Rhinolophus ferrumequinum: one gene and its partner. The protein of the gene in region 1 purifies or fractionates together with the protein of each later gene. This does not show direct contact. Links are inferred from orthologs where the notes say so. Each region holds a gene or a part of one and is shown in the gene's direction. Other genes may lie near its edges.

Region 1 (7,813 bases):
TGGTTAGGCACAGGAAGTGTAGGGAGAAAGGGACTCCTATGTCCCATGAGGGTAAAGTCAAGGGAAAGGTAGGTGCTGCTGTGCCGCCCATCCTTGGTCATTACAAGGATGTGTGGACCCCCCTCAGAAGCCCTGTGGCAGGAATGATCCCAGCACTGGTGAGCAGACAGCCTTGATACAACCTGCGGTAAATCTCGAGCGACCAGAAGGTCGTGGGTATGGCATCCTACTTCACAAGGGTGAACTTAAGGTTAGTTGGGTCCCATCTGTATAACAGGCCACGTAGCCTAGTTTCTTCTAAACAGAATCAAGCACTAGGCTCTGGATCCCAAGACAGCAAGGGTCCCAGTTTGTGCTGAGGGCATCACCTCAAGTGCTAAGTGAGCTCACAGCATCTGGTTTCTCAGGAAGTGGGAGAGCTACACATCTGCTCTTGGGAAGCATTATTTCTCAAATAAAATACTGTTTCTCAGCAACCATTGTAGCCCCTAGGGCCACAAATGAAGGGAGGACTTGTCTACCCTCACCCTCCCACCTCACCAAAAAGGAGTTTGGAAGAGGCGAGCTGTGCTGCTCCCCGCCCAGCTGCAGCAGCCTCCCAGTTGGACAATGCACAGTCCTCAGCCAGGAGATCCGCCTCGAATCAGCTTGGCCCCTTCCCCTGCTCTTCCTGGTTCCCAGCGCCCAACCCTCTACTGAAATTTCCCTGACCCAGTGCTCTTCCGACCCTCAGTGCCCTCCTATAGTCCCCCAACCCGAGAATCTCAGCGCATTCGGTCACAGGCATGGGATCACCCCAGACCGTGAAAAACGGGGTTCAGCCTTTCGTGCCAAAATGGGCTGCCCTCTGCATAGTCAAGGTAAGAAAACCTGCATGGAGGCTCAGAGGGTGTTCCTACGATTCTTTTTGAGCTTTACTAACATTACCCTGGCTTCCCTCCCTTTCCCCTTCCTCTCTGTACCTGCCTGTCCTCAGGATGCCTGGCTGGCTCCATGTGCCACTCATTTTTATTTCACTCCCAAGCCACCTCCTGTATAATGTTTCACTCTCAACTTCTCTTCAGTGTCCCTCCTGCCTTGGTCCTCACTTGAGAGTAGGCATCAAGTCTGAGCTGGAAGTTCAGCTGCCCATCTTGTGACCCTCTCAATTCCTTGGAATCTCAAAAAGGGTTCTTCTTTAGCGGCAACAACGCCAGCTTGTGTGAGGCTCTAACGCTGCCACTGTCCTGGGATCCAATCAAGTGCCTCTTCTCTGAGTCTCCCCCAGTCTCTCCTTTGGTACCTTGAGAGATTAGAACCTACCCCCTTAGCATGTATCCCAGGGCCCAGCCAAAGACATAATGAACTCTGAGAAGGGCAAAGTGTTAAAAGAAGTAGCATACACTCCAAAGAAATGAACAAATTTTCATATCCTGCATCTTGATTATAGTATAATCAAATCTTGTCAAAATCCATAGAATGACCTTCAGCCCTGCCCCTACCCCAGTAGCCTTTGATCCCTGTTGCTCTCCTAACTCCAGCCTTTCCTCTCCTCCCAACCTCTTCCCTCCCCAGCTCCACTCCAACCTCCCCGCCCCTCCTCCAGACTCCAGTGACTGCTGCACTTTCTGAGGCTGCCTACTGGACACCAACTCACACGAGCAGTAAGATCAAGGCTCCCCAGTCCCAGCCACATCTACCCCTCCCAAATGCCAGTCTCTGGGGGGACCCACACTGTCACCATGCGCTGTTTCATAGCCTTTTCCCTACTGCCTTATTGAAATCGGGGATCCACCCCTCATAATCAGAAGCAGAGTTCCCAGCCTTTGCCAAAGGCAAGATGAGCACAGAAAGGATGGAGGGCCTTAAGAGCTGAGGGTACTGGCTGCTTTGAGCAGGCATTGGGCATTGAGCCCTGGGCACTGGCTCCTCAGACAAACACCTCCCCCCCCCCCCCGTCCCCCCCCCCCCCCCCCCCGGTTTTCATCATGGAAAATCTAGTGGGGAGGGGAAGGGAGGGAGAAAGTTTCAGGAAGTGCTCACTGATAAAGAACACTGGGGAAGCTGGGATTGGGAAAAGATTCAGAACTTCTAGAAAGACATCCATTCCCTCTACCTTCCCCTCCAGGGTGGCACAAACTCAAACCAGACCCATGGCCCATTAGCTGAATTCCAGGAAGTTTCTATTCCCGTGCTAAGTCCAGACACTGCAAAAGATGGGAATAAGTTTAGACCACAGAATGAACTTCCACGTTCGTTGGAAAGCCTGGGACTAGAGTTGTGAGGAAGACTTTTTAACGGAAATCTCCTAGGGAGTGGGAGTGACTGTCCAGCTCCAAAGCAGGGCGATGGATGGGCTGACGACCCGCTTGGTGGTGGTGATGAGTGGGGGGGTCCTCAAGTATGAGTCCTTTGGGGAGAATAGGTGACACCTGAGAAGCCTCCCATGAGGCAGAGGACCAGGGAAAGTGTCCAGAGACTTGGAACCCACAAGTGACACCAAGTATCTTCATCTGAAGCTAGTGCCCCCATGGGTAGGTGGCACTAGCCCCACAGGGCCCAATCTCAAATACACTCCTGTGGAGGGGCCCGGCTGAGAGAAGCCAAGGCAGTTCTCTGTACTCTGTTTCCAGTGCCTTCTGGACCTATGTCCACCTTTTCTTCTGAGTCTGTCTGGCTCGTGTGGCTCTTTTGGCCTGTATCCCGCTGGGTCACTCCCCATCTCTGAGATTTTCCTGTCCCTGTGTCCTTGGTGTCCACCTTGCTCAAAATCTCTCCCCATCTGTCTCTTTCCGTCTCCGAGTCTCGGCGTCTCAGCGCTCCTTCTTCCTCTCAGCTCTTTATGAGCGGGGTTCGCAGAAGAAGGTGGGGAGAGAAAAGAGAGAGGAGGAGGGCGGGGGGCGGGAGCGGGCGGAAGGTGGGGATTGGAGCGGGGCAGGAGGGAGGGGAACAGCGCCGGAGGGAGGAGAGTGCGGCGCGGGAGCGGCGGGGCGGGAGGGAGCCCAGGAGCGCGGCGCCCGCTCCCGCCTCCAGCGCCTCCCGCGCGGCCGCTCGGCGCGGGCCCGGCTAGGATGGGCTGGCTCGGGGGCTCCCCCTGCTGCTGCCCCGCCCCGCCGCGCCCCCGCCCCGCCGGGCGCCCCCCGCAGGTGAGTGGCCGCGCCGCGCGGAGCGGGAGGGCGGCGGCTCGTGCGTCACGGCCGGGGAGCAGTGCCGGGGGCGGTCGCCAGGGGGCGCGGGGCCGCCGGGGCTCCAGGGGAAGCGGGCGGGCGCCGGGCTGGGGTCGGTGATCGGAGATCTGGCGGGCCGCGGCGAACTGAGACGGCTGGCTGCCGGGAAGGTGCCCAGGGGGCGGGGCGCAGGCCGCGGTCACACTCTAGTTGGGGCCGTCACGCCTTCGCCCGCCCTGGTGCGCACACGCCGCCTAGGCACGGTGCTGCTCCTTCCCGCCACGCACCCGCGCGCGCCCCGCACCGGACGCCGCTCTTCGAGTACAGTGGGGCACGTTCTTCCACATGCGGGCCCTGTAGCCAGGCGGGAACTGGCGGCCGCGCGCGGGCACTGGCCTGGGAGTGCGTCTGCGTATTTTCCTTTTCTACTTCACATCTGGGGAAACTGAGGCAGAAAGCGGGAACAGATGAGGCTGATTTGACTTTCCAGCCCACTCGTCAGCCCCCTTATGCTGCTACTCTCAATTCTCCAGCTCCCTCTGGGCACACCCATGTACCCCGCCTTCCTCCCTCTCTCCTTCGCTGGGCCTCACCCCTCCTCCGTGGCGGCCGGGCTCCCAGCCTCTCATCCAACCACAGCTATTTCCAGGAAGGGGGAGTGTGGGTGGAGGGGTTTCTCCAAACAAACCTAAGGCTTCGGAGTGTGAGGGGGCCAGCCTGGGGGAGAGGCTGACAGGCTCTGGAATGTTCCAGGCAGGAGAAGGGCGAGGGTCCTTGGGGGTCTGGCCATGCCTTCCCAGCCCTGCCGCAGTGAGCTCGTTTTCCTCCCAGCACCGCTGAGGGATCAGCACTCTTGTCTCCATCTTCCCTCAGAGGTGTACCAAGGGTGGGGAGGGTCTCAAAGCCATGCTTCCCTGGCCTCCCAACACCCGGGTTAGTGAGCCTCCCAGAAGAGTGAGGGTCAGAGGATGAGGGTGACTGCTAGGTGAGGGGACTTTCAGCCCCTCTGGAGGCAGCAGGAGTAGAAAGAAGCATCTGGAGGGGTCCAGGTCAGGGTATGTGCAATAGGAACAGAGAAAGGCCACCCAACCTACCACAGTGCCCCTCCTCCCCCAGCAGGGCTGGGGACTGGACACCAGGCCCAGTTGCCCACACTGGCCAGGGGCCTGGAATGTCCTGGGACCCAGCCAGAGCTGGTGGGTTGGGAGTGGGTTGCAGAGCCAGTGCCCCTCTCCAGTTACAGGCCAGGGGCCCAAGCTTTTTCACACAGATGCCTCCCTCTGGCCAAGGTACCCTGGGGACAGACTTCCTGACCTGCTAGGAGAATTAGACCATCAAGGGAGAAGCCCAGGCAGATCCAGGGAAGTGTCCTCAGTGAGCTCCCATAAGATGGCTCATCCCAGAGAAGGCAGGGCACGAGGGAGGGAGAGGGAAGTCTAAGGACCTGGTGGGAGATGCCAGAGCTGGGGGAGTTGCCTGAGCTCTGGGACATTCAGTAAATACCATGCAAATGAAAGAGGAATATTTGCACATTGTTTCAAGTGACAGCTCTTGCTGGTCCAAGGGGCTGCTGTCCAAGGCTTGGGGCTGAGGACCCCCAGGCCATTAACCCCTTAAATTTTCGGAAGATTCCTACCCCCCTTTCCAAGGCCCCAATCCACCTCCTCCTTCCCTTGACTCCCGGACAGGAAGTTGGCCATGTTCCCAGGAGGGAGGCAGGAGGCCCATAGAGGGGGGTGGAGTATGTGTTGGGAGGGGGGCCTCCTGTCCAGTCCTCAGGTCCTGGGACAGCTGCTGAGGAAGGAGAGCAGAGACAGGAGAGCCATGAAGGTAGTACTCAGGCTTTGGGGGAGGAGGGCGGCCCTAGGGCCTGAGGTGGAGGGCCTAAGTGGCCGGCTCCAAAGAGGGGCTAGGGGTCTAAGAGGTCAAGCAGAAACAAGCCCAGGGAATGAGTGAGGAGGGGAATGTGTCAGGAGCAGAGCAGCTGCAGGCTCTCAGGAGAAGGGCCTCAAATGCCTTGGGCTGTGGCAGGAGAATGGATCACTCCTGTGGGCAAAGCAGTTTTCTGGCTGCAATTTGCCTTCCAGTGTGAATGGGGAGAGGGGGGAGAGGTGCATGTTTTCCTTTCCTTACTTTCACAACCAGTGAAACTGAGGCAGGACACTGGCCCTCCGTCCCATTCTCCCTGACCCTCAGGATGCACTCCCAGTCCTGGGCTGGCTGGCGTAGTGAGTCCCAGCTCCCCTCCCTCCCCACTAGAAGTCCCCAGAGAGCCTACGGGTTCAGACTGGGAGGCTGTCCTGGCCAGGACACGGTGTTCCCCACTGGTCCCTGAGCCCTGCCCTGAGACCTCAGTTCCCACCCTGCCCCCACGCTGTCCCGCCCCACCGGGGGCTGGATCTCAGGATCCCAGCAGATCCTGGATGGGGTGGCTCCTGGGGCCTGGGGCAGCCCCAGAGCGGGGCTGCGGGGTCAGAGGATCCTGGGCTGACACTCCCAGCAGGGTAGATCCTGGGAATCTGATCTCCTGGCCTCCGCCACATCCTCCCCCCACTTCCTGGAGCAGCGACCTGCCCCCTTCCCGCCTGTACTCCCCTCCGCTTCCAGGGCTGGGCTTCTCCTCACACCAGCCAGACAGCCTACCCTCCACCCAGGGGAAGCGGCTGCCTCCGCCAGGCCGCTTCCAGGAAGCCCCGGGCCAGGCCCCAGCATTGTTCGGGCCCCGCGGCCGGCACCCCAGCCAGCCGGACACCATGAAGTCCAGCGGCCCCGTGGAGAGGCTGCTCAGAGCCCTGGGGAGGAGGGACAGCAGCCGGGCCACCAGCAGGGTAGGAGTGCCCACCAGCTGGGCAGAGGCGGGGCAGGGGTGGAGGTGGGGAAGGGGGCCAGGACACAGGCCAGACCCTCCACCTCAGCCTTCTCCCTTTGCTCATTACTCTGCCTCTTTGGGGTGGCCAGGGCTGTGGTATGCACCATAGAAGTTTGGGTTTGAGCAGAACCTGGGGTCTGTTTTGGCTCTTCTATCACCTCCCTGCCCTAGCCCATACCAACTCTGGGGGTCCTGATCCCCTACACCTATGTCCAGGTACATTTCATTGTAGGACCTTTCTGGGTACCATCCTGGGAACCCCAGAGCAGGGCTAAGAGATCAGGCATCTTCCCTGAGCCAAGATGTTTGGGGAAAATGGGGGGCTGGGGGTGGTGAAGGAAGGGAGGGACGTGGCCAGGTCTCAGGAGTGCCTTAGACACTGGAGGGTTGCTTTCACTGACATCATCTGTATATGCCATTTATGCTAGATGTACCCAAGTTTCCTAGTGGGTCCAGCACAGTTGGTCCAGCACAAGAGAGTTCAGTTGCTGGCTTAATCTAGCTGCGTCAGGGACACTGCCAAGAGACAAGAGGTGGGGCCTGGGTCCCCAGGCCTGGGGGGGGGGGGGGGGCCTGGAGACCCCATCACTCCCTTTCTTTACTTGCTCAGGCTTACCCCAAAAGCAGCAGCTCAGGGCAACATGAGACACTACTATAAAAGGGGGATGGGGCAGGAACTTGAACTTCAGAGGTGGAGAAAAATGGGTAGAAGAGAGGAGGCAAGGAAGCAAAAATGGTCCCCAGACAGGATGGAAGGAGTGAATCACAGTGGGAGGCGTGGGACTGCGTGTGAGGTAGGCCTGGGCCTTCAGGGGGCATCCCAGCCTCCTGCCTCACTGCACCTCTGGGTGGGGAGGGGCCCAGCCCAGCATCTGGTCCACCCCGCTACTCCATTCAATGCTGGAATCCTCACTTGAATGTCCTCAAATGACAGGGTGCTCACTACATCCAGAAGTAGCAAGACAGCTAAATATTTTCTCCAATGTCATGCCTCTGTCTGCCTCTCCCTCCAGCATTACCACCCACCTCCTTACACAACTGCTGCCTGCCGCCTCAGTGCACAATGAGTAAACATGTTGTTCTTGGGGGTGGGGGTGGGGGTGAGGAAGGCATGTCAGCTGCCTAGAGCAGGACAGCAGGAGCCAGGGGATCAGGACTGACGGAGGCCACTCCCATCAGTCAGTCTGGGTGCTGTGACTGACAGCCTACATTCTTGTCTGGACCCCCTGCTGTTCACTCTGCACAAGGGCCTCCATCGGGGAGGGCAAAATTGAAGGAGAAACGGGGGCCCTCATAGAGGAGAATCAGAGAGTGCCCCCCCACCAAGAGGAAAGTTCTTGTGTTTGGGGTGGCAGTGACCACAAGGGTATCACACACCAGAGCCACGTGAGGGGCCTAACTGATCCCTTGGGGAGGAGCTGACCCAGTGAGGGTGACGCAAGAGGCCAGATTCCATGCACTGTTGAGGACAGCCCCCACAACTGGCCGGAAACAGCAGTGGCCAAGTGTCCCACGGGTTTGGGGACATTAATCATTTGGGGACTTTAATCAGGATGGAGGAAGAAAGGAACCAGTGCGGTGCTAAGGCACTGGCCCAGTCTCCAGATGGGTCTGCTGGGAACAGATACCCCTGTCTGAGTCTCTGCCCCTCCACCCCTACCTAGCCTAGGAAAGCCGAGCCACATAGCTTCCGGGAGAAGGTTTTCCGGAAGAAACCACCAGTCTGTGCAGTGTGTAAGGTGACCATCGATGGGACAGGCGTCTCATGCAGAGGTGAGGCACCCTGTTCTGGGACTCC
Region 2 (7,731 bases), on another chromosome or scaffold:
TGTGGGACGAAGGCCTAGAAATATCATATGCATCAATAAACATGATTTGGTGTTCGATGGTATATGAAAAATCAGAGTTGAAGCTGACTATAAGATTGCAAGTCTTACGAGGTACTGGAAATTGTTAGAACTGATATTGGGGGTGAGGAAGTTTTTATTTTGGGATCTCATTTGAATTTCATGGCAAATTATGTAATTTCCATGATTGTCAATAAAAAACACTGGTAATTTTCCATAACTAAGTGGATTCCATGAAACTAACCTTCTGCTTAGTGTGTCCTTGCTAATATTTTCCTAAAAAGAAAGTCACAGAGCTACAAAACTGTCACCAGCTGCTTCTCATTAGTAATGTGGTTAGCAGATGTGGGTTTTTATAGTCATAAAGCATGAGATAGTTAATCCATTTTTGTGGGTTTCAAATGGATAGTGATTTATCTTGGCGGGATGAATTTTAAAATGTGCTTGCATCAGCTAAAGGATATATGCATCTTTCCCTCTTTTCGCTTCATATTTGTGCTGGAGAAAAACATTTTAGGATATTTCTGGAAGGCAGAGGAGTACTGCCTGTTGAAAAGGACAATTGATCTCACTGTCTTCTAACTGGGGAAGAGTTATGCATGCATAATTTTTCAAAGTTGGATGTTGAATTTGTTATCTTACAAACTTCTCTCTTCGGCCTCTTCTTTGGTAGTAATTGAGTGGCTCTTGCTTTTGTTTCTCTGGCATTAGGCCACCTTTGTGGTAGTGACCTTCAGGCTTGCTAAGGGCTGCAATTTTGCCTGGGGCCCTCCTTCCTTATGAAATTACACAACACTCAGACCTTGGACCAAGCCCCAGATCTACTAATTCTTTCCTTTGACAGACTCTTGGCAATATGTACTCCCTTTCAGCCAAAGTGTAGTTTTATGCAAGATCTGTTTGTCACTGAAATTAATTTGGCCATTTGCCCTTTAAGCCTGGAATCAAATGGTATCATGGTAGACCCATTCCTAGATAAAGTATAGACTCTCAGTTTCTACCAAAGGTTTTACTATTGATGCTGAAGCTGAAGATCAACAGGTAATAATAACAGCAGCAGCTACGTTTTTATAGGCAGTGCTGCTACGTGCTTTGCACGTCATCCCAGTCAGCCACCTTTAGAGGTAGAACATACCTGAATATTTTTCCAAAGGAGAAACTAAGGCCGATGTCCTCAGCCCCTTGACCATTGTCATATCCTAGTAAGTGGCCAAACTGCAATTTGAACCTTGTGCTCTTAGTTGCCATGCTAAATTATGCATCGACTATGAGAGAAAAGGACAAAAAACATTGGGTTTTGAGAGGGCTTAGAATCAGAGCCTGAGTCGTAGAATTGTAGGAAATTATGGAACTGAAGCTAGCTAATCTAACCCCCTCATTTTAAAGCAACAAAGATCCCTGCCTTGTTCTGAGAAAAAGTAAGATAACAGTTTGAACAGAGGAGAACCCATATTGATAGATGGCAGGATTGGAAGGTTATTGGGAATTATCTCAACCATTTCCTTTTTAGAGGTAGATAAAATAACAGTCCTGTTCAAAAATTTTCTAAGCTTTTCTCACCGTCCTTAAAGAGGCCATGTGTACTCTTTATTTCAGATTTCATTATCCACCATAAATAGATTTCCACTGACTACTTGAGATTTCCTTGATGGTAATTTTCACTCTGCAAGGAACCAGTAACCTTCAGAGGGATTATTTGAAATGACTACTGCGCAGGAGGCACTGAATTTCAATCAATCACATGTTTTATGAGTTCCTTTTCTACAAGGCAATATTTTTGGAATAATGGGGAATAAATAGAAGTCGGTGGGTGGTCCTGCCCTTTTGTATTTTAACATCTGTTTGGACAAACCAGCCAGGCATAAAATTGTTCAAAGCAAAAACCCCAACAGATTGGGTAGATAAGGAAAACTGGGATGAGATCTTACTAGGTGGGAAGGTGGCTGAAAGGGGCAGAAGGTGTTTGGAAGGATGGACTCAGGTGGGAATTTGCAAGGCATCATTGGGAGACACTGGATGAGTCTGGCTGATCTAAAAGTAGTGATGAAAGAGATTGTTGAAAATTAATTTAGGTTCTGATGGAGAACCTTGTAAAAACATCTTGATAGTTTGGGAATTTTTTATGGATATATTTAAAAATAAGTGAAAACCTCCAAGTAATCCAAATACCAATCTTCATTACCTTCTCTCTTTCCAGGGTTAAATATTTTGTTACATAACTATTGTCTTATATAAGTGCCTTCATTTATTATTTGGTTAGAAGATCTACGATTTCCTCCAACTCTATTGACCTAAAGGTCTTGATACTTTTGGAAAGAATTTCCAGCATTTCCCTTTTGCTAATAAAGGTATCCTCAAGTGCCCAACCTCTGGGTGGTTACATATATAAAAGTGTTCAAAATAGTGCTCAGACCCCAAGGACTCAGCTGCCAAGTGGTCTGTAAAAAGCAGAAATGTCACATAACTCAGGCCTCGGGGGGCTCACACCTCAGCTGGAGCAAAGCCAGAAATGTCTATGACTATAGGGTCACTTTGGCACATCAGGACCTGCCAGAACAGCAAGCTGGCCTCACTGCAGTCGATTTAGGAGAGGGCTGGAGGACTGAGCTTCTGCTGATGTTTGCAGTTTGGAAAATCCTGCTCCACTAATTGCAAAGAGGATTCTGCTGTAATGATATTTTCGGTGAGATACTTTTCACATTTTGAATTTTCTTCATTTGGGCTCTGGGTGCTTTCCAGTCTCTCTTTATTGTTTTAACTCCTGGTATCGGAAGTTTTGCCCATACACGGATATGCATTTACAGAGTGGTGCATGGACATGGCTTACGAGCTTCAACATGTACTTCATGAGCAAGCAAGTATACAGCCCCTTTTACAGGAATTGGTGTACACTCCCTCTGCTTGCAGCCCTCCTTCTTTTCCCCCCATAAAAACATGGGGATTTCGCTTTTACTGCTGAAGGAAAGTTAGAGGGCACCTTGATCTCACGTTTTTTGCTGAGATCTTTGAGCAATGTGATTTCTGGACGCTCATTTTTGAGATCTGAGTTATGTTAAAAAAAAAAAAAAAAAAGCACTGGACCAGGAAGCTAGGAGACCTGACTGAGTTTGCTTCCTCATTGTGGACTTGAAGCCAGAGTCTCTGGCTCCCTGGGCCTGTTTCCTCAGTTCTTCCAGCCCATGAAGCTGGGGGAAAAACCTGCTGCAGGCTCTGCAGGTTGCATAGTTTCTGGAGCCACCCATTTGCCCCAACAAAAGGCCACGGCTTCCAGGATAAGAAAAGTCAGATCTGCAAACCCAAGCCCAAACTCTTTGATATTTAATTATATGAGGCTTTTCACACTCATCCTGCTGACTCCACTGATCCTATGCTCTGTTCACATGGGAATCTTGGCATCTTCCTAGGTAACCACCATTCTGCAAATATATTTGAGGCCTACCTATTGTAGTTGCAGGGCTGAAGAAGACACGGTCCCCTCTCTACCTATTACAGGCAAGTAACAGGTGATAACAAAGCAGATTCTTGTCTCTGGACCTTTGCTTATGCCGTTTCCTCTGCTCCCCTATTCACCTTCCATTGTCACCTCTGTGAAGCTGACCCCAGACCTAACTGAAGGTTTCTTCTACTTTGCTCTCAGGGCGTTTTCTATATGTCATCTAACCACATAGTATCACACCAGGTTGGTTGGGTCTTCGCTTTCCTCCCACACTAGACCGCTAACTCTCATTTGTGGTACATGTTACTCAGCTCATTTCTAAGCCTCAAAAGGAACACAGCGGTGGAGCCCTCAGTAAATCCGGAATGAACCAATCAATGCAAGAATGAACGTGCAACCCAGTCTTGCAGGCTTGCAAAGTGCTTCTCGAAGTTGATCTTGCTTTCCGTGCCCAAGGCAGCTCAAGTCAATCGCACGGTACAGGTCAAGAGTTGGGGGGGTGGGGCGTCGGAGGTGAACAGGAGAACGTGAGATGTAGCCCGCCGCCTCCTGTAGCCCACGTCCAGTGAGCCGCAACCGACCGGACTGTGCGAGCAACTCCTTAACCTCCCGGAAGTGGCTCCTTTCCCCGCCCCTCCAGGGATGGGCGTGGTCTCTCATGAATAATGAATCTACAGGGGAGGGGCCGGACCCGCCCCCTCGGGCGGGAAGGGGGAAGCGTTGAGGCTGCCTGACTGGAATGAGGGTAGCTGCGGCGACTGCGGCGGCGGGAGCGGGGCCGGCCATGGCGGTGTGGACGCGGGCCACCAAAGCGGGGCTGGTGGAGCTGCTCCTGAGGGAGCGCTGGGTCCGGGTGGTGGCCGAACTGAGCGGGGAGAGCCTGAGCCTGACGGGCGACGCCGCGGCGGCTGAGGCCGAGCCCGCTTTGGGGCCGGCGGCGGCCGCCTTCAACGGCCTCCCGAACGGCGGCGGCGCCGGCGACTCGCTGCCGGGGAGCCCAAGCCGCGGCCTGGGCCCCCCAAGTCCGCCCGCGCCGCCGCGGGGCCCGGCGAGCGAGGCGGGAGCGTCGCCTCCCGTGCGCCGGGTGCGGGTGGTGAAGCAGGAGGCGGGCGGCCTGGGCATCAGCATCAAGGGTGGCCGCGAGAACCGGATGCCGATCCTCATCTCCAAGATCTTCCCGGGGCTGGCGGCGGACCAGAGCCGGGCACTGCGGCTGGGCGACGCCATCCTGTCGGTCAACGGCACGGACCTGCGCCAGGCCACCCACGACCAGGCCGTGCAGGCGCTGAAGCGTGCGGGCAAGGAGGTGCTGCTGGAGGGTGAGCGGGGCCGGCGGGCGGGCGGGCCGGCGTTCACTTTGTTTCTGCCACCCTGCCCCCTTTGCGGGGCGAGCCCGTTCCCTCCCCCTCCAAGGCCTCGTCTTTCCCTCCTCTGGTGCCCCGGCTCTCCCCAGACCCGGATTGCTGTGGCTTTGAGCATGGAAAAACTGATACTCCTTGCAGGAAAAGTTGGGCAACCGCCGAAGTGTGGGTGGCAGTCCCTAAAGAAGAGTTGGTTGAGATTTAGTAAAAAGCAGCAGCGCTTGAAGCCCCGCCTCTGCACAATAAGCTGATACTAAGAACTAGAGGACTCGAGTTCTGGAGGTCTCCTTTTGCCTCCTTAAAGAAGTGCCGGGTTGGCGCTTTCTTCACTCACCTCTGGCTCCCTTGGGAGGGCGGGTCTGTTAAAAATTCATCCACACCGATGCCAGCGGTATGCTTGGGCAAACCACCAAAACGCTGGTTAATTTATGGGAATTTAACCCATCATTGGCTCTCAACAATAACCAAAGAAAATCTTAGCACTTCCTTGAAGCCAGAAAGCTGAAACAGCAAGTTTGTGTGGTTAATGAGCCTAGTTTAACAGTGGAGGCTCACGTGTTTGAATATTTACTGCCAACTAGAGTTTTGCCCCTTTTGCAAGAGACTGATGCCAGCTTCCTACCATTCGCAGGAGTGCTGCTGCAAGGCTTTAAGCCTTTAGAAACCTGAAGTGTTAAATCGCAAGATATGTTCGAATAACCAGGATCATTATTTACTTAAGCATATATGTGGTCTGTAACCAGGATCTTTTATGGTGAATTTATGGAACTAAGGCTAAATTAAATCTCATCCCCGTGAAGGACTCATGCATTTTGGAGGTGAATTGTATTGTAAAGTGTTGTATTGTAATTGTATTGTATTGAAAGGTATTGTAAATGTGATCTGAAAAGCCCGTTGCTTACTTGAGAAGTTTTTGAGCCATTTGCTTTCTTTCATTGGTGATTCAGTCATTCAAGAAGCATTATTGCTGGCCATATAGAAGAGAATATAAAAGATGATATGTCTGTATTTGGTCTCTAGTTGAGAAAATGATAGAAAGATGTAAAACTTACAAGTTATTGATTAGGTTGTTCAACATATATATAAATGCCAAGGGAATGCAAAGTTAGAAAGTAGTGGAAGTCAGGATTAGTCAGAGAGGACTTTGGAGGAGCTTAATCTTGAGCCAGTTCTCCAAGGAAGTGATGGACATAGGCAGAGATGAGTCAGGAGGGTATTCCTGGCAGAGGAAGAACTGAGGAGGGGTGGGGAGTAGGGGTAGGAAGTGAGCAGTCCTCATACTGAGAGGCCAGAAGTCTAGCTTGGCAAAGTGATTTTCACTTTTTTCAAAATCGCAGTTATAATATTTGGCAAAATATTAATTTGCAAGTAAATGATTTAATGTGATCCAGTTTTGAAATTCCAGTGTCCCACCTTTATAATATCCTATTTATAAACCTTATTTATATCTCACTTATAGATAGGGCTAGACACTGCTCGGAAATCAGTATTAATAAAAGGAGTAAAATTACAGATTGTGGCTCAGGTGGTGTATATGTAAGAAAATGGTTACCTTAAACGTGTACCTTGAAATGGGCTTAGCTAAGCATTTGCTTATAAATTCTTAGAGCCAGAATATTGAATATAGCACTATTTATGTAGTACTTAGTGGTGATGGGTAGACATTTTAACTCTTTACACCATATTTTTAAAACACCCAGTTTTTGTTTAAATATAATTTGAACCTGGTATTCATACCAATTAAATGAAAATCATCCAGTAAATGTTTCCCGGTGTTCATTAGTCTAAAATGGGCCACGTATGCTTTTAGAAGAAGGGTTTACAAACGGCCGCAAAACATTTACTGAATACCTTTTTTCCTAGCACACAGGTTCTACTTTATTTTCCCATTTTGGAAAAAACAAGCAGTTTTTGTCGTTATATGTGGAGGAAAGTATGAAATTGCGCTTTCAAGCCAACGGATATAAAAATAAAATTACTTAGAATAAGCAAAAATCACCGAAAACAGTGATTTAATTGAACCAGTCAAACTATTTAAAATTGAGAGCTGTTGTCCTAACCAGGTAGGCCACTTTTGGAAGATGGATTTTATGCTTAGCTCTTAAAGTTTTGGATCTGTGTTCTCCTTTCATTAGATGTCTCAAAATTTGAAAAACTGCCTTAACGTAGCACGGTGATGCTCTTTTGTGGTGTGGGCAGGGAATGTCAAGCATGCCCTTGCCACCCCCAAGCAAAGGAAAGCTGTAGTCTCTGTTGGCCTGTGGTTAGGGAACTGAGCTAAAGGGTTCTTTTTATCTCATGGATTTATAGGGATTATTTATTCATACATCTAACATTTATCCAACTCTACAATGTACCAGAGACATTCGAAGATACCTACCTCCTGCTCTCAGAGAGTTTGGAGTTGAGATAGGAAATAAGTACAGCAAAGGGCTAAAGCAAAGGACTGTTGTAATAGAACTCTGGAAAGGACACAGCACAAGGGAAGGAGAGATCTATAGGTGACCCTATTAGGGATCAGAGGTTGAGGATGCCCAGGAAAAGGTTGAGGGAGAAATTGAAGCTTGAATGGAGCCTTCCCTTTAGAAGAGAAAGCTGCTACCAGTAAAGACACACAAGGGAGGGACATTAAGATGGTATTTCTGCCCCGTAAGGGTAGAGTACAAATGAGGTCTTCGTGGTCAGAGAGACCTGGGTTTGTTTCTGGCTAGTGGTTTGTAACTCCTAGGCAAGTTACTCAACCTTGTTAAATAAATCTTAGTTTCCTCCTCTGTAAAACCAGGATGGTAATAATGCCTCCCTCAGAGGTTGTTATTGACTTGACAGTTTATGTGCTGGGCACTTTTTTAGGTACTAGAACATATCAGTAAACAACATCAACAACAACAAAAACCAAGTCTGAGTGAGGAAGGTAGG

The links.
Region 2: the proteins of TNS2 (region 1) and SNTB2 purify together in Homo sapiens (affinity purification with mass spectrometry; 4 studies listed by BioGRID and IntAct, with this or other methods). This does not show direct contact. The link is inferred for Rhinolophus ferrumequinum from reciprocal best matches to the Homo sapiens genes TNS2 and SNTB2.

Annotation. Positions count from the first base shown.
Region 1 is NC_046293.1:53,007,691-53,015,503, forward strand, and holds the start of TNS2 (tensin-2), read left to right. Parts: upstream 1-4,678; 5' UTR 4,679-4,844; coding exon 4,845-4,976; intron 4,977-5,589; exon of another isoform or gene 5,590-5,899; coding exon of another isoform or gene 5,900-5,974; intron 5,975-7,679; coding exon 7,680-7,788; intron 7,789-7,813. UniProt on the Homo sapiens protein: Tyrosine-protein phosphatase which regulates cell motility, proliferation and muscle-response to insulin. Phosphatase activity is mediated by binding to phosphatidylinositol-3,4,5-triphosphate (PtdIns(3,4,5)P3) via the SH2 domain.
Region 2 is NC_046298.1:18,363,852-18,371,582, forward strand, and holds the start of SNTB2 (beta-2-syntrophin), read left to right. Parts: upstream 1-4,172; 5' UTR 4,173-4,193; coding exon 4,194-4,773; intron 4,774-7,731. UniProt on the Homo sapiens protein: Adapter protein that binds to and probably organizes the subcellular localization of a variety of membrane proteins. May link various receptors to the actin cytoskeleton and the dystrophin glycoprotein complex.